Linked DNA regions of Drosophila melanogaster. The protein of the gene in region 3 purifies or fractionates together with the protein of the main gene of each other region. This does not show direct contact. Each region holds a gene or a part of one and is shown on either strand. Other genes may lie near its edges.

The links.
Region 1: the proteins of Ada2a (region 3) and Atac2 purify together in Drosophila melanogaster (affinity purification with mass spectrometry; 3 studies listed by BioGRID, with this or other methods). This does not show direct contact.
Region 2: the proteins of Ada2a (region 3) and wds purify together in Drosophila melanogaster (affinity purification with mass spectrometry, with the first as the bait; 3 studies listed by BioGRID). This does not show direct contact.
Region 4: the proteins of Ada2a (region 3) and Atac3 purify together in Drosophila melanogaster (affinity purification with mass spectrometry, with the first as the bait; 3 studies listed by BioGRID). This does not show direct contact.

What each region holds. Positions count from the first base shown.
Region 1 is NT_033779.5:18,608,149-18,614,176, forward strand, and holds Atac2 (Ada2a-containing complex component 2), read right to left. Parts: upstream 4,102-6,028; 5' UTR 4,031-4,101; coding exon 3,621-4,030; intron 3,561-3,620; coding exon 3,409-3,560; intron 3,354-3,408; coding exon 3,179-3,353; intron 3,113-3,178; coding exon 1,881-3,112; intron 1,815-1,880; coding exon 1,459-1,814; 3' UTR 1,428-1,458; downstream 1-1,427. Other genes in the region: CG10333 (uncharacterized protein), read left to right, coding at 1-1,307.
Region 2 is NC_004354.4:2,583,652-2,589,210, reverse strand, and holds wds (will die slowly), read right to left. Parts: upstream 3,232-5,559; 5' UTR 2,933-3,231; coding exon 2,662-2,932; intron 2,451-2,661; coding exon 1,825-2,450; intron 1,771-1,824; coding exon 1,582-1,770; 3' UTR 994-1,581; downstream 1-993. Other genes in the region: CG13760 (uncharacterized protein), read left to right, coding at 4,004-4,213, 4,276-4,544, 4,609-4,748, 4,816-4,919; AANATL7 (arylalkylamine N-acetyltransferase-like 7), read right to left, coding at 5,485-5,559.
Region 3 is NT_033777.3:18,251,870-18,257,961, forward strand, and holds Ada2a (transcriptional adaptor 2a), read right to left. Parts: upstream 3,619-6,092; 5' UTR 3,512-3,618; coding exon 3,448-3,511; intron 3,368-3,447; coding exon 2,506-3,367; intron 2,448-2,505; coding exon 1,685-2,447; 3' UTR 1,587-1,684; coding exon of another isoform or gene 1,406-1,586; intron 1,344-1,405; coding exon of another isoform or gene 1,169-1,343; 3' UTR 974-1,168; downstream 1-973. Other genes in the region: CG12320 (uncharacterized protein), read right to left, coding at 1-830; Polr2D (RNA polymerase II subunit D), read right to left, coding at 1,169-1,343, 1,406-1,586, 3,448-3,511; moi (modigliani), read left to right, coding at 3,747-3,943, 4,003-4,342; Tgs1 (trimethylguanosine synthase 1), read left to right, coding at 4,339-5,739. UniProt on the Drosophila melanogaster protein: Component of the histone acetyltransferase (HAT) complex ATAC; predominantly involved in acetylation of histone H4, including at Lys-6 (H4K5ac) and Lys-13 (H4K12ac).
Region 4 is NT_037436.4:323,872-330,517, reverse strand, and holds Atac3 (Ada2a-containing complex component 3), read left to right. Parts: upstream 1-2,525; 5' UTR 2,526-2,719; exon of another isoform or gene 2,720-2,840; 5' UTR 2,841-2,876; coding exon 2,877-2,972; intron 2,973-3,029; coding exon 3,030-3,383; intron 3,384-3,438; coding exon 3,439-3,651; intron 3,652-3,793; coding exon 3,794-3,814; intron 3,815-3,978; coding exon 3,979-4,096; intron 4,097-4,159; coding exon 4,160-4,485; intron 4,486-4,543; coding exon 4,544-4,638; intron 4,639-4,693; coding exon 4,694-4,763; intron 4,764-4,823; coding exon 4,824-5,282; 3' UTR 5,283-5,533; downstream 5,534-6,646. Other genes in the region: mthl9 (methuselah-like 9), read left to right, coding at 37-240, 303-382, 444-478; CG32344 (uncharacterized protein), read left to right, coding at 5,863-5,865, 5,920-6,469, 6,524-6,646.

The DNA.
Region 1 (6,028 bases), on a different chromosome or scaffold from region 3:
GAATTCCCAATCCCATCCGAAGTTGGAATGAGTCCGGATTTCCCAAGGAGATCATCGACATTATCGACAAAGTGGGCTACAAGGAACCAACGCCCATTCAGAGGCAAGCTATACCCATTGGTTTGCAGAACAGGGATATTATTGGCGTCGCTGAGACCGGTTCCGGTAAAACATTGGCATTCCTCATACCCCTGCTCTCTTGGATTCAGTCCTTGCCCAAGATCGAGCGTCTGGAGGATGTGGACCAAGGACCCTATGCCATTATAATGGCTCCCACGCGTGAATTGGCCCAGCAAATCGAGGAGGAAACAACCAAGTTTGGACAACCTTTGGGCATACGAACTGTGGTCGTTGTGGGTGGTTTGTCAAGAGAGGAGCAGGGCTTCCGCCTGCGATTGGGCTGCGAGATTGTCATTGCTACGCCAGGTCGTCTCATTGATGTGCTGGAAAATCGGTATTTGGTGCTGAACCAATGTACATACATTGTCCTCGATGAAGCCGATCGTATGATAGACATGGGCTTCGAGCCAGATGTTCAAAAGATCTTGGAGTACATGCCCGTCACCAACCTGAAGCCCGATACCGAGGAGGCTGAGGACGAAACAAAGCTGATGGAGAACTTCTACACTAAGAAGAAGTACCGCCAAACCGTGATGTTTACGGCAACGATGCCTCCGGCTGTGGAAAGATTAGCTCGCACATATCTCCGGCGACCGGCAACGGTTTACATCGGATCTGTTGGCAAGCCGACAGAGAGAACAGAGCAAATAGTGTACATGATGGGCGAGAACGACAAGCGCAAGAAGCTTATGGAGATTCTTTCGAGGAAAATCGATCCACCAGTTATTATCTTTGTTAATCAAAAGAAGGGCGCCGATGTTTTGGCTAAGGGTCTGGAGAAACTCGGCTACAACTCGTGCACATTGCACGGTGGCAAGGGTCAGGAGCAGAGAGAGTATGCTTTGGCTGCTTTGAAGTCAGGCGCAAAGGACATCCTGGTGGCCACCGACGTCGCTGGTCGTGGTATCGACATCAAGGACGTGTCCTTGGTTATTAACTATGACATGGCCAAGACCATCGAGGATTACACACATCGTATCGGTCGTACGGGTCGTGCCGGCAAAACCGGTTGTGCCATTTCGTTTGTCACCAAGGACGATAGCGCTTTGTTCTACGATCTAAAGCAATGTGTGTCTGCAAGTCCTGTCTCGACCTGTCCGCCGGAGCTAATGAATCACCCGGAAGCGCAGCACAAGCCTGGCACGGTGGTTACCAAAAAGCGCAGGGAGGAAAAAATATTCGCCTAAATTTGGCAAATTCTAAGCAGAACTACTTTAGGTTAAAATTTAAAACTAATAAAGTTGGGTGCGCCAAAGCCATACCTTGGCAACCAAAAATTCTCTTTCGAAATAGTCTTTTGAAACTTTAGATTCATAAACCATTTATTTGAAAAAAGTCTCATCTTTGTAATCTCAAAAAGAAGGCATTTCTGCTCTGTTTCGAGTCCAGAGGCAGATACTTGTCATAAAAGTCCAAGATGATTTCCTCCATCTTAAATCCGAATTTCTGGTACAACATGACGGCCGCGTTGGTGGCGGAAACGTGCAACGTTATGTCCTTGGACATACATGTCTGGATAAGGTGATATAACATGAAGCTGGCGATGCCACTGCGTTGCCAGCACGGCCGCACCGCCATGAATGAGATGTAGGCCTCGTTGTAACCTACGTCGGGCACTAGGAATCCGCAACCGATGACCAGTTTCTTGTACAACGCCACTACACTGTAGTCCGGGTAGCTCAAACACTCGCTTACTAAAAGGGAAAAAATCATACAAATTTGTACATTAAAAAAGCTAAAAAGAAAATCATGAAACCCACCATCAATGTTTGGCCAAAAAGTACTTTGGAGTAATGCGTTTACGGCCGGAATATGCTGCGGTCTCACAAAACAGAAGTCGATGGTAGATCTTGTGGGATGAGATCCGTTTACTCTATGCTGCAGCTCGCACATAAGCTTCAGCCATGGAGGAGCCATCGTTTCGCTCCGAAAGATAAATGGATGAAGAACTCTTTGAGAGTAGGGCGATTCAAAGAGCTCGTATTGAGTGCATCCCGCCAGGCGGGCGTGAAAGGAGCTCCTTGCATCTTGTCGTGAATGGGCTAACAACTGATATCTGTCAAGAATTTCGGCCTTCTGATGACCCAGCATCTTTAGGCGTGCTCTTCCCAGGGGATCTATGTGCTCGTCCAAGTTAAATATGTGTCGATTGTGGTCCCTTTTCCATTTTCGAAGAGAAAGTTTTCGATATAGGCGCCGCACATAGGCAGGTATGGATATGTGGCACTGATGCTCCAGTGCGAATATTCTATCGAGTCGCTGGTACAACTTCTGTTCTTCGTATGCATTTATTAGTTTGAGATTTTCGCTAGGAATGGCCATGTCATCGGGATCCTGCGCCTCCTGCAACCAGGGCCAATTTCGCCGTGGTTGTCTGACAAATCCACTCGGTTTGCAAGGCTCTAGGATAGAGGATTTGCTATTTGTCGTGACGTCATCATCTTGCATTATCTCTTCTAGTGGTTCCTCTTTGATGCTTTCGTTTGCCTCTTGCGCCTGGTAATTTGTAACCTGTACGATGCGTGGCTGATAGTCGGGTGATTCGTCCTCTTCTGGCTTTTCATCTTCTACCTCGCCTTCTTTTTGTTCCTCGCTGCTTTCGGCTGCAGGTTCTTCTGTTGATATGGGTTTGGTCTCATCAGCGGTATTTGGTATGGCAAAATTTGTATCCATGTCGAAAAGACCTTCATTATTCAAAGGTGCGTGAAGCAACGGCTCGGTCATGAAGAAATCATTTTTACCCGCTCCAATCAGGGGTGGGGGCATTATGCCTGGTAGGTTACCAAACATGGTAAAATCATCGCTTTCCAAACTTTCAGCCAGAAAATCCATCAGGCCTGCTTGGACCATGCTCATAGGCTGATTCTGTGGTTCTTCCTCCTTCTGACTTGGTGGCGCTATATTTTCTTGAAGAATTGGTGGCCCTGGAAGCGTTTCCTGTGACAAGGGTGAAGGTTGTGTTTGTATCTTTGGCAAACGGCCCATGTAGGGACTGGAATAAAAGTGAAAGATTTTAATGAAAGGAACGCATAGTTGTATTCAAAATTAATTATCTTACATTGTTCGCGCACAGCCCTCTGTTGAACTGGGTTTCTCAGCTTCTGCTTTAATAAGCGGTGGGTTATCCTGGGCATGATCCGCCACTGAGATCTCGCTGCTACAGCTGGTCTCGTCCGCTGCAGGCAACCGCTTTTCAATACGCATTTGTAGCCGCAACTGTTGCTTTTTCTCATCTGAAATGTGACGACTTGTGAAATCTATCATATCATTAACTTAAGTGGCACTTACATTCTTTGAGAACGCTTCTTGGGGTTTGAAAGGGCTTGGCCAGTTTCCACCAGCCGTTCTCCTGAAAGACATCCAGACCAGACTGAAAGTACTCCGGACTGTTGTGGGACAGTGCGCCGGATACGGAACCAGTCCATTGCTTGCGACGCCGCCTGAACAAGGGGAATAAATTGAATGTGTTCTCCGGAAATTATTCATTTACGAATACTTACACATTGGGACCGAATATATAGTTCCAGTTCTTGTCCACAAAACTGATGATGTGCGTGCGCCAATGGAAGAATCCATGGTGTCCCAAGCCCTTTTGTTTGATGGACAGATTGTAGAGCGTTAGGGTGAGCACCAGCAGCCAAGGTATCCTTTGGCGCACGATCACTTCCTTAATGGGTTCTAGATCTGAGGGTATGACCGATTCCTTAGCTTTATCCAGCACACACTTGACGCACGTGAACTCGAAGAAAACGTCGCCTAAAAGATCTCCGGGCGTGCAAGCATGCGGCAGGCATTTGATGTGAACCATCCGCCTGCATTCCTGGCACTCCAGGTAGTTGTCGTCCTCCACCGGCGATTCACAGTAGCGGCATGGTCCCTGGGGATCATCCCAGTTACTGGGCCGATTCATTTACTCAGTAAAACAGCACAAATTGCAAGTTAAAAACAATCAACAAAATAATGTGTTGTTTGTGTGTTACCGTTTCGCACTTTTTGGTTTATACCATATATATGAGAAGCTTACATTTTGAAAATACCAAAAAATCGCACTGTGCTCGGTTCAAATTTGTCAATAATTTGAATTGGGAAAACAAAAAATAAAATTAATTTGTATTCTTAATTGATCTTTTCTGAAGCACTACAAAACATATTATTATTAAGCACTTATTTATTTATTAACATTGCCGTTTTAAAATGCCGAAGATGTCAGCATTAACATAATTTAAAATAATTTTTTATTGTTAAAATGTCATAAATAAGCATTTTTAATTAATATGGAACAGAGACAAGGCTATGGTCTTCGCATATTATATACCCTCTTCTCAGGTGTATTCAACATTTTCTTGTCACATTTTTAGAAATTGCAAGCAAATATCAAAACACTTTTTAAAAGTTTTGAGCTCTTGGTGGGCGTTAGAGTGGGCGTGGCATTCTTCTGAAACAAACTGTGATGCGTCTACATGTCTAGAATCTGATTGCTCCATCTTAGCTTCCTAACTTTTAAGTTCCCGAGATCACAGCGCTTATACGGACGAACAGAAGGACACGTTTTAATCGACTCGTCCACTGATCCTGATTACATATATATGCTTAATACTGTCGGGAATGACTTTTTCTTTTGTTATTTCTTATGCCAGTTACCTACTTTTCAACGAATCTAGCATATCCTTATGCCCTTATATACACTATATAAAAGATCCCGATTGTTTTTTATGTTCTCCCTATCTAGAAGATAAGAATCCGCTTGATTAGTACAGTCCCGTTTCGCTTGATCAAGCATGCGTTTGTCACGCCCTACGCCCACCAAGCACATTAGTACCAACGCCCACCACCCACCACCCAACGCCCAGCGTCCTTTGGCCATGCAACGAAAATGACATTAATGGGCTCTTTACGGCTTACGCATAATTAAGGCTGTTTCCGGCAGACCATCGACCATCGGACCTGGCCCCATTGCTTTTGGCCCGGTCAGTGTGTTGTCTTAAGCGGGCCTAATTAGGCATCGCCGGCTGCTGCGTTCTGGCGAAGCTGTTGCTTCTGCTTCTGCTTCTGCTGTTGTTGTGTGTTTGATGAAGTGCATGATTGGTTTATGGACTGAAGTGGGATGGTCGAAACTGCAGGCCGGCTAAGTGGGGTATTCAGTTGAGAACCAAAGCTGAACGGATCCACAATTGTTTCTTTTGTAAATCACTTTCTATTTGCCGAATGATTATTACTGCAAAGCATGCAGTTTGTGCATCTTACAGGATATGCACCTATTTACGATTTCACTTCAACACTCATCGTTTTCAATTCAATTTGAATATTGCACTTCAAGTTCTTCCCTGCCTTTAATATCTGTAGTTGAATTCCTTTCAACTTGCTTGTCTGGCGCCTCGAGGAGATTTTCATTTAATTCGCGACTGCCCGCTGGCAAGTCGAAAAGAGCGAAAAATATGGTGAAACAAATTAATTTGTTGGTGCTACTACAGCCAAAAGTATATCCCCGAATTATGTTTTAAAGTATATCTATATCTTAGTTTTGCGAAAGTTAAAATGAGTTTCACTCATAAATCACTTAAAGCTCGAGGGTAAATATTTTCTGGAAAGAGCTTGACAAATTGGATAGTCGTTTACTAGCTGATTATGACATTTACAGATGCGATGCTGGTTAGAATTTGTTTGGCCACCCATTTTGTTCATAACAACCGTATTTGCTCTCAATCACCAGACTTATTGCACCTTAGCTCCACGGCCATGGCTTGACCGTTTTCCGAACGATTTAAGGCCAGGTCCTGGCACAAAGGGAAAAGTAAGGGAAGGATATGGGGGCATCCCCCCATCGTGAGGGGCAAACAAACGCCGTCTGGCTGTCACTTAATCGAAGCCATTAGCGTTATTAGTGGGGCTGCTACCAGCCGATGCACTG
Region 2 (5,559 bases), on a different chromosome or scaffold from region 3:
CGATTTGGATTTGTTTGGGTTATTTTCGAATTAGAATCCCTGGTTGCTGGGCTGCTGTTGTTGCAGTTGTTGCTGTTGTTGCAGGCGCTCTTGTCTCGTCATTAATATTTGCGATTTTTATATTGGAATATATGTGTTTATATTTATAAACGTTTGTCGCCTTGCTAATTTTCTGCCAATGAACACCTTCTTCCACTCTCTCACCCCTTCTCACTTAATCTCTCTCTCTCTGCACCGGTTCACGCCGCTCTCTCGGCGTACTTTGCACAGGAAAAAAAAACGAAGGAATTGCAGCAGAGGCGCTTGGAAAAGCTCAAGCTAACAGCGATTTGTTTAAAAGGAAAATCGATTTTCCCACGACCGTTGTATTTTTTTTCTTTTTTTTGCTTATATTGCCACTTCTTTCTCACTATGCGTGTCGCGGTCCCTATGTGTGTGTGTGTGTGTGTATGTGTGCGCGGTGCGGGTGCTTGCGTGTGTGTGTGTGTGCGCGACGGCGGCGGAGCGATATTGATTTGCAAATTAATTGCAAAATTCACTTGGCGACTTTTGTTCAGCGGGTTGGCGCGCGCATCGCAGGGGCATTCGGATTCGGCAAGGTTCTGAATCAAGTGAATCGAATCCGTGATCTCCGAGTTTCGATTCGTCGGTTTTTTCGATTTTCGTTTCGCCAAGTGACCGTCGCGCGCCGTTGTCGAAATCCAGTGGCAAACGTTCAAACTGAACGGGCAGTGTGGCCCTCTTCAACCGAACTCAACGCAGGGTCGCACTCCAATAGGCGCTAGAGTTTAAAAATAAATAACTTAAAGAAAACGTCTACGTTAAGTATTATACCTGTGTTCATTCATTTAAAAACCGTAATATATTAAACGTACTTATTATCGCTTTTAAACCGTAATGAAGGTTCGTTTGTTTCGTAATTTTGCTAAACTGTATGTTTTTTTAGAATTAAAACTTCTCTTATTATGTGAATAAAATGCAATTTGTACATTTAAGTGTCTCGCCTCGAAAAGCGCGCAAGTTGAAAGGACACTTGGGCGCCGCCGAGACGGTGTTTTCTTTTATTCAAAATTTACATTTCGTATTTTATATATATTCTTTCTGGCGCTGGGATTCTGCCCCGAGCACCTGTTGTATCTTTTACGCTTAAATTTAGTTTTCTCGTCACCGAAAGATCATTATAAGTTATGTTGGTTTGCGTGGCTGTGTCAAAGGTTACAAACAATTTTGGGGGAATATTCTCGCTTGCATGGTGGGCCAATACAATAGGCTAATAAATATTTATACATTAATCGTTTTTTTTGTTTTCACTTTTTGTTGTTTTTTTTTTTTGTTTTTGTTTGTTTGTTTGTAATTTTTCCGTTTTGCCGTAGAATGTGAGGTTTAAAGTGTGATTTAAACGTAGAATTTTAGAGTTCCTTTTCTTTTTTAAATTATGCGTACAAAAAAAAAAGGGGGCTCGTGGTGGGGGGGTGTGGGGGTGTTACAATTACGATTAGGCTGTTCGCTTTAAAATAATATTATCCAAGAAATGTATGTGTGTGTTCCGATCGAACGTCCTCCAGCTGGATACCAGCCACTCTATGTATCCGACTTCCACAGCTTGATGGTCTTGTCGTTCTCGAGCGCCGCGGAAGCAATGATGTTCTCCGTGGGATGGCAGGCGGTGCACAGAACGGTATCGGTGTGTCCCTGCAGCTTTTGCACCACCTCCTTGCTCTGCAGATTCCAAATGTAGACCATGTTGTCCTCGCTGCCACTCACGATCCACTACAATGGACGCTTGTGAGTTAAAGCCTAAATGTGCATAAGATATGAACTCACCTTTCCTCCCGTCACCGAGAAGTTGGCGAATATGCAGTACTTCTCATTCTTGTGACCCGTATACGTCTTCAGGCACTTGCCCTTCGAGTAGTCCCACAACTTGAGCGTATTATCCAGCGTGGCGGCCAAAATGTACTTGCCATTGGGCGAGAACTTTACAAAGCTGACGGGCGGATTGTCGTCGTCGATCAGGGTTTTCAAGCACTGTCCACTGGCCGTGTCCCATATGCGACAGAGGCCGTCGTAGCTGCTGCTCACGATCAGCGATCCGTCGCGATTGAAATGTACCGCCGAAACGGGATCGGAATGGGCGGGTAGAGTCTTCAGACACTTGCCGGTGCGCACATCCCATATGCGAACGCTCTCGTCGAAGCTGCCGGAGACGATCAGATTGGACTGCGGATTAAAGTTGCAGCAGAACACATAGTTGCTGTGGCCCTTCAGAGTTTTCAAGCTCTTCCCGGTGCTCAGCTCCCAGACCTTGAGCGTCTTGTCATCACTGCCGCTCACGAGGAGTCGCGAGTCTGAGCTCCAGGCCACATCGCTGATGCCCAGCTTGTGGCCCGAAATGGTCTTCTCGAACTTGCCATCGTATGCTCCCCAGATTTTGATTAGTTTATCAGCGGCTGAGGGTTAGAAGTGGAAGTTTAATAGGCATGTGCTGTATGTATGGAATGTACAATATGTATTCTATAAATGCTTCTTCTCTTTTCCGAGATCTTATTTCATCCCAATTCCCATTAACTGAGCTGCCAAAGCTGCCTGTTCAGTCCAATAGCAGTTCAGTACCATAAAATTCCCCCCCAGATATTCGTGGATAGGGATGTATGTACTTACAGGAGCTGGCCAGCCACTCGCCATTCGGACTGAACTTGACCGCCGACACCGCCTTGGTGTGCCCGGCCAGCGTGAACTTGAGCGTGTAGTTGGGCTTGACGGATAGCGAGCTCTTGTTGGAGGCGCTGCTGTTCGAGGAGGTGGTGGCCCCCGGCTGGCCCACCGAGTTCGGCTGCAGCGAGTTTGGGCCGCTGGGCGCCGTGGGCAGTGGTTGCTGTGGCGGATGCACTACGCCGGGATGGCCGCCGTGCACGGCTCCGATGGGCACCATGTCCTCCGGATGCGGATTCTGCTTATGCTCCTTGGCCTGGCCTCCTTGTTTATTTTCCTTTTTTCTTTGGCACGCCGCACACGTGCTTCTTCTTCTTGTTGTTCCGACTAGAGAAACGCCGCCAATTAGCGGGCGAATTTGTTGGGCCTGTCGGATTAACTGCAGCTACTCCCGTTACCGGTGGTCACCGGCTGCTCTCTCTGCTGGGCGTGTGATTTGTTTGTTTAAATAGGCGCTTGGTTTTTTGGCTCGTTTGCGTGCCACACGTGAAAATAATAATGCTTAAGGTCACACTAATAACTAAAAATTGGTCAGCGCGTCAGTGTGGCCGTTGCGCACCAGCCACGGATTGCCACAGCGGTGGTGGAACGTGTTTACTCGATTCCTTGCTTTTTGTTTTTTTTTTTAGGGAGATTTGGGATGTTTTCGTCCTTGGGGGATGATTCTAGAATGGGACTCTTAGTTTCCCGCTGAAACTATCAGGGGGAGTGCATCGGGCACATCGATGCCAAATTGCATGCAGTTAGCTCGACGTTGCCAGATCGTTTCATACATGTTTGAAGTTTCGCGTACAGTTGCATTTAAATTTATACCAATTGCCAGTAGTTATTTAGTCTTAAAATTGCAGGTAATTCTAACTGAACTGTCAATTTTGAAGGGCTTAAGAAGGATTTACATAGTGTTAGAACATTTTTTGCGCCTTTAAGATTTCAAACCAAAAATTTCCTAGCAGCAACCAAGATTTGTAGGAAAATACATCTAACTCCTTTGGCGACTCACAATTTATGTATAAATATTATTTAATTACAATATTTACAATATATATCTAAAAAAATTCAATTGGCATTTTTTTCAACTGGACATAGCCGACAGTTGGCATTCCGCAGACAGCTGCACCTGGCCACACTGGCCCAAGCTGTTAGACCAAAACATTCCCAGTTCAGTTTCCAATTGGACGCCAGGATCAAAGGAGCGCAGCCGCGGGCACAGGAGCACGCGAAGCACACGGAGCCAAGGACTCGAGGACCCGAGGAGCACAAGAAGCCAAGAAGAGCCCAGCTGCTGGCCAGAATGAACGGACTGCCGCCGAGCAAGCACTACAACCTGACGCACTACCAGCAGCGCTACAACTGGGACTGCGGTCTGTCCTGCATCATTATGATCCTGTCGGCGCAGCAAAGGGAACAGCTTCTTGGGAACTTTGATGCCGTGTGCGGCGAGGAGGGATTTGGCTCGAGCACCTGGACCATCGACCTGTGCTATCTGCTGATGCGCTACCAGGTGGGCATGCCGTGATGCACATTTGCATTCGCTCACTTCTTTGACACTCTCTTCTTGGCCAGGTGCGCCACGAGTACTTCACCCAAACGCTCGGGATCGATCCCAACTACGCGCAGCACACGTACTACTCCAAGATCATCGACAAGGACGAACGGCGCGTGACGCGCAAGTTCAAGGACGCCCGGGCCCATGGACTGCGCGTTGAACAGCGCACCGTGGACATGGAGGTCATTCTGCGGCATTTGGCCCGCCACGGACCCGTCATCCTGCTGACCAACGCCTCGCTGCTCACGTGCGAGGTGTGCAAGCGCAATGTCCTAGAGAAGTTCGGGTGAGTTCCTCTTGCCACCGGCGATTCACAAAAAACCACCTTAAATCCACACTCGAATGAAAAGCTGTTTTCATATACCCTGCATTGCTCAAAATACACGCCTCCATGGACCCAAAAGGTATGCCGGACACTATGTGGTGCTCTGCGGATATGACATGGCCGCCCAGAAGCTCTTCTACCACAATCCCGAGGTCCACGATGGCCGTGAGTATTCCATTTGGTAGCAATCCTTGAAAATTCATTGATTTTCGTTTTTGGCTGCGTTCCACAGACATTTGTCGCTGCCTCATCGAGTCCATGGACACGGCCCGACGCGCCTACGGCACGGACGAGGACATCATTTTCATATACGAGAAGAAGGAAACTAGGGAGTAGTAGATGGATAAACCAGCGGAACAGATGAACAAATGAACAGATGAATTGATGAACAGATGAACAGAAGTACCTGCCGTCGCCAGGTTGCCAGGTGATGAGAACGGATGATTGGAATCTGCGCTTGTGATATTAGGACTTTAGGAGGAGACCTTGTAGGGGGGGACTTCGAGTGGGAGGTAAGAGAAAAAGCTGTCTGGTTAACTTTGGCACAACAGTGTACTTTATTTAGGTATTGTTAGCAGTTGGTCCCCATACAAAAAAAAACAATTACAAAATTATATTTATGTAAACGTGCCAGGCAGCGTCTACTCGTACATTATAGAGGCGTTCCATTGACGCTCCAAAAACCGTCGACGGAAAGTCCGAAAATCCAATGTTATTTCATAGTTATGTTTAAACACAGAACAATAGTAATTGTTCCCTAGCTTTAACTTTCCGTTAAACGCCCCCCAACTAATTTCCATATTTGTAGTACGAAAACATTCCAATAACGATTATGCAATGTATGTATATGTAGAAAATAAATGAGATTATTGTTCCAAATGTGAGCCAGCCGGGTGACTCCTTAAAGCGACTGCTTCTTCTCATCCTGGTCATCCGCGCAGATCGCCTTGTAGAGCTGCTGCAATTTGATGTGGGG
Region 3 (6,092 bases):
CGCCAGTGGGCCAGAGACTCCACAGAGTAGCCCACTAGGAAAAATGCGTAAGCCAGCTGCAGTTCCTCAATGAGTCCATCGGCCGTTTCAAAGCCTTCGAGCAGTTTGTCAACAGCATCGATGCAGTCCAAGGCATGGCGGGAAACATCAGCGGGCAGGGCATCTTGTGGAACACGCAGGGGTACGGTAGTGAAGCGCGGAGCTGTTCCTTCCACGGGCTTAAGGTCCGGTAGGAGTTCGCTCTCATCTAAGAGAATCCGAGCTGCAGCATTCCGGCGGCTTATGCTGACAGTAGCGGCTCCACCTCGCGGCCGATCTGCGTCCGGGCAGGATTGCAGTTCGATGTTCGTACGGATGGTTCCTTCTGTCGGACGGCAGCGATCCACGCAAGACTCCGTCACGCTGCCGGTGAGTTCCTTCCACTGGACCACGTAACGATAGTCGTACGGCGCCAGCACGCGCTCCAGTTGGGCTAGGTTTTTGCGTATTCGGTCTCGCTCCACTTCCGGTTCGGCAATCCTCCGCGGGCGCAATTCCTCCAGTTCGTGGTCCCACTCTCGTACGACAATCTCATTCGGATGGAAGAAGTGCACGAATCCAACACGAGGGGCTGCATCGCCGTAGGGACCACGGGAGGAGCACCATACGTAGTGGACTCCGGGTGGAATCATCTTGACGCCTCGGAAATCCGGACCAATGGTGTAGGCACAAAGATCAATGCCGAATTCCGTGCCCTCGGGTACACCGGCGATGACCAGCACTCCGCCATCAGCCAGGAGGCGTAGGGCTAGCTGCGGATCCATTTTCATGCTGGAGTTGTCCTTGTTCATTGTGAAATATTGTTCGCTTGCAATTATTAGGAAAAAGAAAACAATTGCAAGTGCGGGCCTTTCAGCAAGTTGCCAGATGTGACGGCTATTTCGATAAGTTCTTTCATGTGAGCAGTCTGGCAACACTAGACAAACAATTCTTTCAAGCGGCAAATTCAATTTATATATACTTTTTTTTAAGTAAATCTTTTGTTTGATATAATTACATTGTATTTAGACTTTGTTGATTTTTGTTACAGTGTATATTCTGCATTTACTTAAAATTCTTGCTGTTCTTCACTTTATTGTGTAAGTGGACCATGACTTTATATCTAAACTATATTTATACGTAGTAGTAATTAGTATTGTAAGCTGCGTTTAGTGCCGATATCGTCGAGTATTTGGCGCAGCTCCTCATCCTCGAAGCGACCCTCTAGTGAAGGAATCAGCGCCTTGGCCTCCTCGGGCGCCTCCGGACACAAATTACCCAGTGCCGCCAGTTCGAATTTGTGCAGCTTTTTCTGCATCAGCAAGCTGAATTTGAAATAATTGAATATTACTACTCGTACGTGCTTTGTTCGGTTTTGCTACATTACCTTCGCGCAGACATTATGGTCTCCTTGTTTTTGAACTTTCGAAAACTATCCGTGTAGGCGTACGTCTTCATGAAGACCTCGGAGAACTCTTGCTCCTCGTCGGCGGATTCGTTTTGTCGCTTTCGGTGATCGAGAAGCATGTGCACCTCCGATATCAGCAGCGTCTCGGCATTTTCGAACTCTGAAACAAAGAGAAACGAAAGGGTTTTTTTTTCTTGAATTAGTTACTTGACGACATTCAGGAAATTTACAAGTGAAACATTGGAGAAAAAATTAGCCCTAGCCATAGGACGGTGGTCTGCTGATATGGCCATGTTCCAGCAGAAAATCGTAGATCTGACGCGTTTTGTTCACGTCAATTTTGATGAGACGTCGCGCATCGGCCAGTCGTAGATATCCGAGCTTTGCTTGCTCCGTAACGAGTTGATTCTTGTAGTCCAAATACGACTGCGGAACCAGACGAGCCACACTGCACAACTTTCGCTCGCCATCATCCAGTTTGGAGTAACCAGGCAGATCTGGGATCAAAGAAAAATTATATTCAGTTGGTGTCAGGCAATGAGTAAAGTGTTTCCCACCTCCAATCTCAATGGGACTGGCCTTTCGACGCGTGTTCATCACATATAACTTTGAGTTAATGGCCAGGGGACCAGGATCACCGCTCCTGTTGCTCTCGTAATGCTGCACCAATTGCTGCCAGTCGAAAGCATCTGTTTGCTTCAGCCTGCTGTAATCTCGCTGAGCCTGCTGACGTTCTTTGCTCAAGCGGGCATATAATTTGGCTCCGGAAAGAGTTCGAACGCCGTGCTCCCGCAGATCGTATAGCTTGTGCAGCTGGCTATGCAGCTCCCGATAATAACGCAGAGACTCCAACAGCATATCGAACTTAATGGGGTCAGGACAGATCTGCATGAAGCCCAAGAAACGCATGCAACTCGCATCGCTGCCAAAGGCGTGCACGTACTTGGAAATCCAGCTGACGGTGCGATTGGGCATTATGAGACCGTGTTGCCTCATTATCTTGTAACGACGCTGGCGCTCTCTGTGAGTAAATATGCATATTAGATTTTTTTTAGTAGCTTTCTGTTATAAGATCATACCTGAGGCGATTGTTGTATGCCCGAACTAGTCCGAGTTGCAATTCCTCTGTCACTTCGCGCTCAAACTCACTCTCAGACGCCTCGTTGTCGTCATCCCTGCCCCTATGATCCACCATAATAGATAGCAGACTCTCTGCTGAGGTGTCGTACGGAGTATCGAAGTCTCCTCTTGCACAGCGGTAACCTGCGCTTAGTCTGAACTGCATGGAGGCGATGTCGTCATGACGTGGTGGATCCAAGCTGCGCATTTTGAAGACATACGGCATTCGCTCGGGCACATAGCTGTCCCTCGCATGCTTCAGATTAAGGAGCCGCTCGAATATCCCGCCAAAGTAGCAATCGTGGTAGTGACGACGCACTTCTGCGGGTTCGTGGCGCTGGTCCAGAGCCTGGGAGACCGCCTCCCAGTTGCCATAGCCGTGGGTGCGAAGTGTTTTCAGCAGTATGCGCTCGTCCCGTGCCGTCCAGTGTGGCTCATCGGCGAAAACCTGTATGTTGTCGCGGACTATGATGTAAGCGTGGTTATTGCGGTGAGAAAAGGCCTCCTTTCCACGTGAGAAACATTGCAGGCAGAGCAGGGTGTCGAGGCACTCGGAGCACTTAATGTACGGCTCTGTGAGACTGCAGCGACATGTGGCACACCGATTGGCATCCTTTGTAGCCGATGGAACACTGCTATTCTGGTCCCGCGTCTTTTCCTCCATCTCCTCCAAGTACCTGTGCAACGTGTGCGGATTATACAAAACCATGGAGTTCCTGGTGTGTTCATTCTGATGTGCATGGATGAACCGCTTAACCTGTGGCCCCAGTGGCTCAACTGCAAAGAGGCAATTCAGTGTGGTAAAAATGTGGAGGAGTGCCACTTTTGGGGCACTCGAAGCCAAAGGTTTCAGCCAGTTTCACTTGTAAGTTGCATTTCGGTTGGTGTAGGGCGTTGGTTACCTTTGGGAAACTGCAGGTCGGCGGCGTCCTCATCCACCATATCCACGGGGTTCATAAAAGACATAGTGAGCTAAGAACTGCTCAGTTTGTTAAAGTTTATATTAAGAAATTCTAATTTGCACAATAAAATGTCGCTGTTTTTAGTGATGAGAAAGGCAGGGCTATAACTGGCGAAGAAGCTATCGATAGGTGGGTCGCATCGTGCGTAGATACGTTGGTCACACTAGCAAGCATGTTGAGTTTATCATTCCGGGTGTTTTGATTTTGTTCGGAATTCTTGGTTTTTTTCCAAGAGAGTTATGTCCCTGGTGCCAGAAGCCTCTACCTCGAGAGCGCCCAAGTACTGCTACTTCTTCAAGACCCTGCTGGTGGAGGAACTGGAGCTGGAAACTTCCTACCACAACCTGCACTACGGTCAGTGCGCATTAATTGGACGTCTGGCGTTCAAGGCGAATCAGTACCGCCTAGAAAACGTGCGCGTTAAGTGTTTGCCAAAGTAAGTTTTTCTATATTACCTATCCATCCGGTCCTTACCAATGATGCTGCATCTTTCAGGAAGTACTCCTTGGGCGAGGGCACCGTATCCTTGCTTATTCTTGGCCTTACCCATGACAAAGTCGTCGAAAATCGCGTGAGTACCGGCCGCTACTGCATTGTGCGTGGTGAAGTGGTGCTACATAATGTGCAGCATCCCAAAGGTGCCAAACTGACCGCCGGCGGTGTCTACGACAAGATCAATAGTCTGTCCAACGATCCGTTGGCCCAAAAACAGTATCTCAGCGCGCTACTTGCCACCTACAGACCGGCCATCGACTTATGGTACATCCAGGTCATCGACAGAGCCGAGGACTTGCTGACTCGCAGGCTGGAGATGAGAAGTCTGATCGAGAAATGAACACACACCACCTGACCACCTCGCGAACCAATCCGCAGTTCTATATATTCAGTCAGCTCTTTGGTAACGATTTCGACTGGAATAATTGCAATTGGGGGGGCATTCAAAACGTTACCTGGAAAGAATTCTGGCAGCGTGAGGGGCATGAGCTGCTCGAGCAAAAGTGGCACAAGCGGTTTCCCGAATACAAAGATCTTATCGAGGTGGTTTCGTCGGAGGAGCAAGGCCTTTGGCAGGAACTGTGGGAGAAGCACGCCAGCGATTACAGTGAAAAGTTCTGGTATATATTTAGCTGTGCCTTTGAGAACTACCAACACGATTTGGCCAAATCATTTGGCCTTGACGTCGCTGAAAACTCAGAAGATGTTGAGGAGGACTTGCAGAACCTAAGCCTTACAAATAAGCCAATAAAATCGAAACAGCAAAGGGTCACAGAGAAAGAGGAGGACGAATCATACTTGACTGCCAACGACGATCCCGAGGATTGTGACGAGGAACAACAGCTGCGCCTTCTCGGATTGCCAACATCATTTGCGTCGAAGGCAGATATAATTAATTATAGAAAGGAAAGAAAGACACAGTACGAACTATCTAGCAGCGATAGCGAGGACGATCATGATCTGTTGACCATGGAGAACAACGAAAACGAGGCTCTGCACGGCGTTCAGAGCGGTTCTGTTAAAAAGAAAAAACGACGGCAAAGGCAAATAAAAAAACTCAAGGCCAGGATGCCAGAGTGCATGCAAGAGGATAACAACAAAATGGTCAAGTACTGGGTCAAGCGATTCTCGCTGTTCTCCCGCTTCGATCAGGGCATTCGGCTGGACCGCGAGAGCTGGTTCTCGGTGACACCCGAGAAGATTGCCAAACAAACGGCCCGACGACTGGCCTGCGACGTGATCGTAGATGCTTTCTGTGGATGCGGCGGCAATGCCATTCAGTTTGCAAACACCTGTGGACGCGTAATTGCTGTGGACATCGATGCCGAGAAGTTGGCCATGGCCAAGCATAATGCCGGCATTTATGGTGTGGCCCATAAGATCGAGTTTATCCACGCCGATTTTCTGCAGTTTGCGGCCAGCACAAAGCTGCGCCCAAATGTGGTTTTCCTGAGCCCTCCGTGGGGTGGTCCTGACTACCAAAAGCAGGCCACCTTTGATATCGAAACAGGTCTCCTGCCCGTGGGTGCTAGCCAACTGATGCAGCTGTCCCGTAGCCTGGCATCTGACGTAGCTTTCTTTCTGCCACGCAACGCCAATATGAAGCAGGTGGTCGCTCTAAGTGGAGTTGGGCAGCAGTGCGAGGTGGAGCACAACTATCTGGACACCCGAATGGTTGCGCTCACTGCTTATTATGGTAAAGGAATCATAAAGGGTTCAGTGGGAGAAGATGAGTAGGATTCGATTGAGAGTAATTTTAATAACATCATTGTTTTTATATAAATAAATATATTTAATTTCATACATATGTATAGTTGAATGGATTTAAAAAAAAAAACGGGCTCATAATTTCATGGCATTTTTTGCTTATTATTAGATATAAATCATATTCAAAACGAGCCAATAACATAATATGAAAATAAATCTATGAAAGGCATTTTAACTAATATGTAATACAAATGATTTGGTAAGTATCTTTAATTAAACTCGAAGCATATAAGCACACAGAGTTCACAAATTCCTGTAATTATGGATCAAAGGAAAATGTTGGCTATGGTCAACAACTTTTTTGTTCATTGTTTATCGCCTTA
Region 4 (6,646 bases), on a different chromosome or scaffold from region 3:
TTATTATAGACCTATTTATCTTTTATATTCCTGCAGTTTCTATGCCTTTAGCGCTTACATAGTGGGCGTGTTTGCGGTCTGGATCCGAGAAATAGTCGTGTATATAATGGCCAGAGTGAGAGAGCATTTCTTCATCATTGACTTCTGGAGTGGAATTTGCATTCTGGGCCTGGCCATAGCTGGTTTTATTCTGCTCCTTGGCAAGAATTTGCACGTCAAATCCTGGTGGGCCATTAATGTGTAAGTTGAAATATTCGAATAGAAGCTATAATATTTTAATTGCCCATTTTTTTTTTTTACAGGGAATCAAGTCAGACAGATCTGAGTATTATTAATGCTCGCGTATACAAGTTCGATGAGAAAGGCGATCTAAAATCTTCAGGTTGGTGTTCATCTTATTGCTTTAATTTATCTTCTTTTAACATTGATATTTTCCTTCACAGACTCTCCCTACAAGCCGACAGTGACATCACTTTAACAGGAACTGAGATTATTGCTCATCTGTGAACTCTGGTATTCATATTCATTATGAATCATTTAGTCTGTCGCACACGGGAGAGTATATAAATAATAGTGCCTCAGTACTCTAGCATATTATGATGTACATTTATATCTTTAAGAAGAACCACATTTCTAATCACTTGTCACATTTACAAGGTGCCAAAATAAATATTATAATTCACTTGGATTAATAAGAATACTTTTGATTTGATGTACGCATTTAGTTTTTTCATCTTAATACCACATGTAGTCTCTACCTCCCCTGAAGACCAAAAAAGGCTTCCCGGTATGATCAACGGTAAATCATTCTTCGAAGGAAGCGCTTGACTCGATGAGGAGGGCCAAGTTAACTTGGGGGCCCGCCTGGATTAGTCGCATTTATTGACGCATTAGAGTGGGCATGGCTTAAATGTTGTTGCCATATCGATCGAAAATGGATAGACAAATAATAAAATGGCCTTGCAAGTTTTGTGCAGTTTGTGGGCTTGTTAATCTTCTCAAACAAACTGACGCTACCCGTCTACTTCCCTAATTTCTCAAGTTTCAAGCGTTTTAGTGTTCATTCACACATCCCACTCCGTCCAAGCAGTCAAATCGGGTATGCACCAGATAAAAGTAGTCAAACGGACCAAATCGGACGAAGACTTTTGAAAGGGAAACACCTATCGATGATATCGAATTTTCTGAAAGCGATAATATGGATATCCGGCGACTCGGACGATTTTTTTATCCAAGCAAAGGCCACACTTTATTTTTATCGTATATGTACATACATATATAATTCGCGGTTACGAGCTTTGCGCCATTTATTGGGCAACTTACCTTCAAACTATGCACAATTGATGCCCGCTATTTACAAACTGAGTAATAACGCGAATAACACTTTTTAAAATGTAAATTTCATATTTTTTCAATAATAATTTCCATAATACCAATCATTTTAATCAGCCCATTTTTATATTTTTCATAAGAATTATGTGGATGTACTCACCTATGAACTAAGCTCTTTGAACTCTTACGCAATTTCCCTGCAAAATAAATATATCCCTCTCATTAGGATAAGGTAAAAATTTTGATTGCAAATCTATCTCGTTGATTATAAAAACTTCAAAAAATCCGAATTTCGGTTTACATTTAACTTTGCGAAATATGGATAAAAATAGTAGCCAATATTGCTATATTTTTAAGAAATTTATAAATTTTAAATTTAAGAGGAAGACCAATAGCACACCGCAGAAAAAAATGGCTGCTTTAGAGATCTTAAGCTTGCATCTCATTCTTTCATCCTTACCACCGCAAAGTAAAATGGCGGTGGAAGAAAGAGACGAAGATATATTTTAATTGCTTAAAATCTTCCTTATCAACCCAGAATACAATGGCGGCGGAAGAAAGAAATTGAAACATAAAATTATGCTCTCTATTTTGTTTTAGATCAACAATGGTCACCTAGAATATAATGGCCGCTCAAGAGCATGAAGAATATTGTTAGTCTCTTCTTTTTAACACCAGTAATGAAAAAAATCGGAAAGACTACACACATGTACTTACTATTGTTTGTACGTATCCATTTGCTATCCATCACATATTTTGCATTTTAAATTAACATTTCCCCAATATTCACTGGGAATTCTAAGCCTAGCAAACACATACACTTGCACACTCACACACATGACGAGGATGAAAGAGGAGTGGAGAAAGCAACAAGCTTCTGGCATTGCCGTTACTTCCTCTTCTTTTCATACCTCGTAAGCTTTAAAAAACTGAACAAAAATGATTGCTGCTCTCGCAAGCTGTAATTTGCACGTGCAACATTGATTTCAATTAGACCGCTGCACATTTACTTGATTACCGAGTCACAAAATTAGTTTAAGTTTGCTCATTGCGCGTTGCAAACCTCGAAACCGCGAACTGTAAAAACGATAAGATAAAGTGTGACCGTGCTTGATATCGATCAGAAACTTTCGTCATGTAGAGATTATCGATACCTATTCTTCCTTTTTGGTATATACCAATAAATTCAGCTTCGATTGCCTTATCCTTCGTATTATTACTTTGATCAAGTAATGTCTTACAGGATTTAGCTGTGATTTAAATTTAAATGTAAAAAACGGCAACGCAGAAAATGATTTAAGTTTAACATGATTTTAGACGATTGAAGAAACTAATGCTATTGATGCTATATGACGAAAGCTATTTCAAAAACAATTTTATCTGATAGGTGAGTATAAGCCCTTTTCTATGTCTGGTCACACCGCAGAGATCTAAAAACGTAAACATTCATAATTAAAGCCATTCTTAGCCTTTGCTTAATAAACTTATTGAAGTAATGCCAATTATAGGCCTTCACTCGTCCCTGAAAGTGTTCTTCTGCTAAAATGCACAGTCTCGGCGCCAGCAAAGTCGTTGCTACTCTCCGAGCGGATGGTCACGTCTACCCCATGGAGAACTCCAACCTGATGCACTACGAGATCGTAAGACTCGCGGTACCTTGCTTGTAATTCACACTAACCGAGGCGACTCCTTCATAGCGCACCGAAGGGGATGTCCAGCAAAAGAAGGGGATCCTGGTGGGTCCGGCCACATGCGTTGACCTGGGCAAACAGCTGCTCCAGTGCGCCAGAGACAGCGATGTAGCTGGGGTCAAGGCGGCGCTAGCGCATGGAGCTCCCTTCGCTTCCGACTGGCTAGGTATGTCGGCACTTCACTTTGCCGCCATGAACAATCAGCTGGAGATTTGCGAAATCCTCCTGCAGGGGGGCATTAACATGGATGGCAAGACCAAGGTAGACCGAACGCCGCTCCACCTAGCCTGCTACTACGGTCACGAGCGGATAGTCAGCTTGCTGCTAGCGCTAAAGTGCAGCGTCAACTCCCGCGACATGGTAAGAATATATAAATAAATGACTGTTTAAAATGACTAACCAACATTCCTGTCAGCTTCGCATGACCCCGCTGCACTGGGCGGTCGAGAAAAAACACAAGGGAATTGTGCGCCTGCTACTCAAGTGCCAGGCAGATGTCACCTTGGTCTCCAAATTCGGCAAGACGCCGATCGGACTTGCCGTGTACACGGAACAAGCGGATGTGCTGGCGGAGTTGGAAGCGGCACGACAGGCGCAGGCCAGTAAGAAGTTACACGAGGAATCGGAGGTGAGTGCGCTTGAAGAAATCCACTGAAGGCCATATTTACTACTTAATATGAGGTTTTACTTACGTTTCGCTTGGCTGTTCCTTATTCTTAACAATACAATTGATCGCTGCCTTTTCCCACGCTGCGCTTATCAAACTTCAGCAACAAGCACATAAGACCAAAGTATGTACTTTCGACAACTTGTATTAGGTTGTCACAAATAATAGCAAGAACATTCCCAACTTTGGCCTACATTCCTGATCCTAAAAAATTGTGACAAATACTTTATTCCCAATTGATTCGCAGAAAGAAAAATCATATCATATTTATTCCCCATCGATTTGCAGAAGGAAACCAATGAAGCTGTCAGCTCAATAATGGACGAACCGGAAGTAATTAAAACCGTGGACGACAAAGAAATGTCGGTTGAAGAACGAATGGATGTCCTAGAAAACATGCGAGGCCGTAAGTTACTAGATTCGGAGATATTAAACGAATATTTAACGAAAAACCTATTTTCCCTGCCAGATGCAAACGTCCTGCGGAACACTGCGCTTTACATACTAAAGACGCACGAAATCGCAGACATGGTGCAGGACAACGATGACGAGGACTCGAAAGAAATGCTGAACACTGCGTTGCAGAATGGACGCCAACTTGTCCTCTCTGAAGGAGGACGCATGCTGCTGCACGAAACAAAATCGGGCATCAGCGGCAAGCAATCCACGAACGGAAACGCCCGGCCTTCGGTCGCAGCGCTCCGCACAAATGTTAATAATTCTCATCCCAAGATTCGGATGAATGTCCTGAAGCAGAAGGATCTTCCGTCACCGGCGGGAGTTGCCAAGAACAAGGTATGCATTTCATTGTTTTGTTTCGCTAATTCGTATAATAATTAATATTTGAGGGCAGAATATACGCATTATCTCGTTGACTGATTTTAAGAAACTCTACGGATCGGACAGCACGGCAAAGTCCCTTCAGAAAATACCCGCCTCATTGGCAAGGTACGTTAATTTCACATATTTGGGAGATATATATAAGATCTTGCCTTATCGACAGCTCTGGAATGGTGCGGCATCTTCCCGATGGCACAAAGCTAGTCAACATGCGCCAGTTGCAGGCTCGACAGGTGAATATTAAATAGTTTCTGAGCTCACCTCCTTACTTTACTTGAACCCCGCTTAATTAGTTAAAGCTCCCCTCCCTGCAAAGGCCGCAGGATCTCACTGCGCTAGAAGAATCACACAGCCAGAACGAAGCCGCGGTCCCATCCCCACTGCCTTCAGGCCATCCCGCGTCGGGCAGTTCGCTTAGGGGACAAGTGGGCACCGTCCAGACGATACAGCTGCGACCTTCACTCTCGGCAGGATCCGGCCAAGGCGCAGTAAACAACGGGGCGGCACCTGGCAAGACAATCGTCAATGCGACGAAGCAGTCGCCGAAATCTCCGAACGTGATGCCGCTGCTAACTTCTTCTGAGATCTGTCGCCAGCTTCACGAGTTGCGGCGTCAAAACGAAGACCTGCGGCGGCGGGCCGACTCCTTTCAGCGGGAAAAGGAGGAAATGCTGAGGCGCATTGACCGCCTGGAGCAGATGGTGCTGGTTCAAGAGTCGGAGGCGGACTTGGATTTTGGAGAGGACGTTTAGTTAATGCAAAGATAAGTTTAGCGTAAGTTCGATAAGGTATATTTAGGATATTCAGCCGATAAGTGCATTTGTAAAGCACCCAGTTTAATGACGATTTCATACCATTTCTTATCGAAACCTTAATAACTTGAATGCTATGAGAGCTTTAAACCAATTCGGATGTCGATAGAAATATATCGTTTAAAAAATTCATTTTCAATCCATAATCTGCACAAGATGTAGCATTTATTTAATACATTTACATAGCTATTAAATCGCACCAGTCTTTTATATCTGTTATTTTCCCGTTTGGTCGAGGTCTTATGAGGTTTTTTCCCTTTGGGCATATGTAAGCTATCCTCTAATTTTAATCGGCAGTGTATATATGGTCGATTTAAAAGATGGTCTACTCAAAATAGTAAATATTAAAATAATAAAACGCGAGTTAATCAAATGAAAATCTAAGCGCCAATTACAATGCGGTATATTGTAGCGTTAGTCAATTTTTAAGAAATCAGTGTTGGATAATTTATGGAGTTATCGATAGTGTGGAATAGTCATCGATTTTGCACGTGTTGTTTTTATTCAAAACAAAAAAAATATGGTAAGAGGATTGTCTCTTGTTGCTTAGCTTTCAATACATACTTTGCATTGGCAGCGTAAGAAGCAGGCGGATGAAATACCAGGCTTTCCATCACTGGACAACGATGCCGGCACCAGCGACCGGGGCGCCGACATTCTCAAGTCCAAGTCCAAGAAGAACAAGAGTGGTGGATTCCAGTCGATGGGCCTGGGCTTCGAGCTGATAAAGGGCATCACCAAGCGGGGTTACAAGGTTCCCACCCCCATACAGCGGAAAACGATTCCGCTGATCCTGGAGGGACGCGATGTGGTGGCAATGGCCAAGACGGGCTCTGGCAAGACGGCCTGCTTTCTGATTCCGCTCTTTGAAAAGCTACAGAGGCGCGAGCCCACAAAGGGGGCCCGTGCCCTGATCCTGTCTCCGACGCGCGAACTGGCTGTGCAGACGTATAAGTTCATAAAGGAGCTGGGCCGCTTTATGGAACTGAAGAGCATTCTGGTGCTAGGTGGCGACTCCATGGACTCACAGTTCTCGGCCATACATACCTGTCCGGACGTAATTGTTGCAACGCCAGGTCGTTTTCTTCATTTGTGCGTAGAAATGGACTTGAAGCTAAATTCCATAGGTGAGTTGATAGTTGCGGACCATAAAAGCAGGAATTAATTTATTTGCTCTCTAGAGTACGTGGTGTTTGATGAAGCCGATCGACTCTTCGAGATGGGCTTCGGCGAGCAACTGAACGAAACGTTGCACAGATTGCCATCGTCCCGGCAGACGGTCATGTTTTCAGCCACGCTGCCAA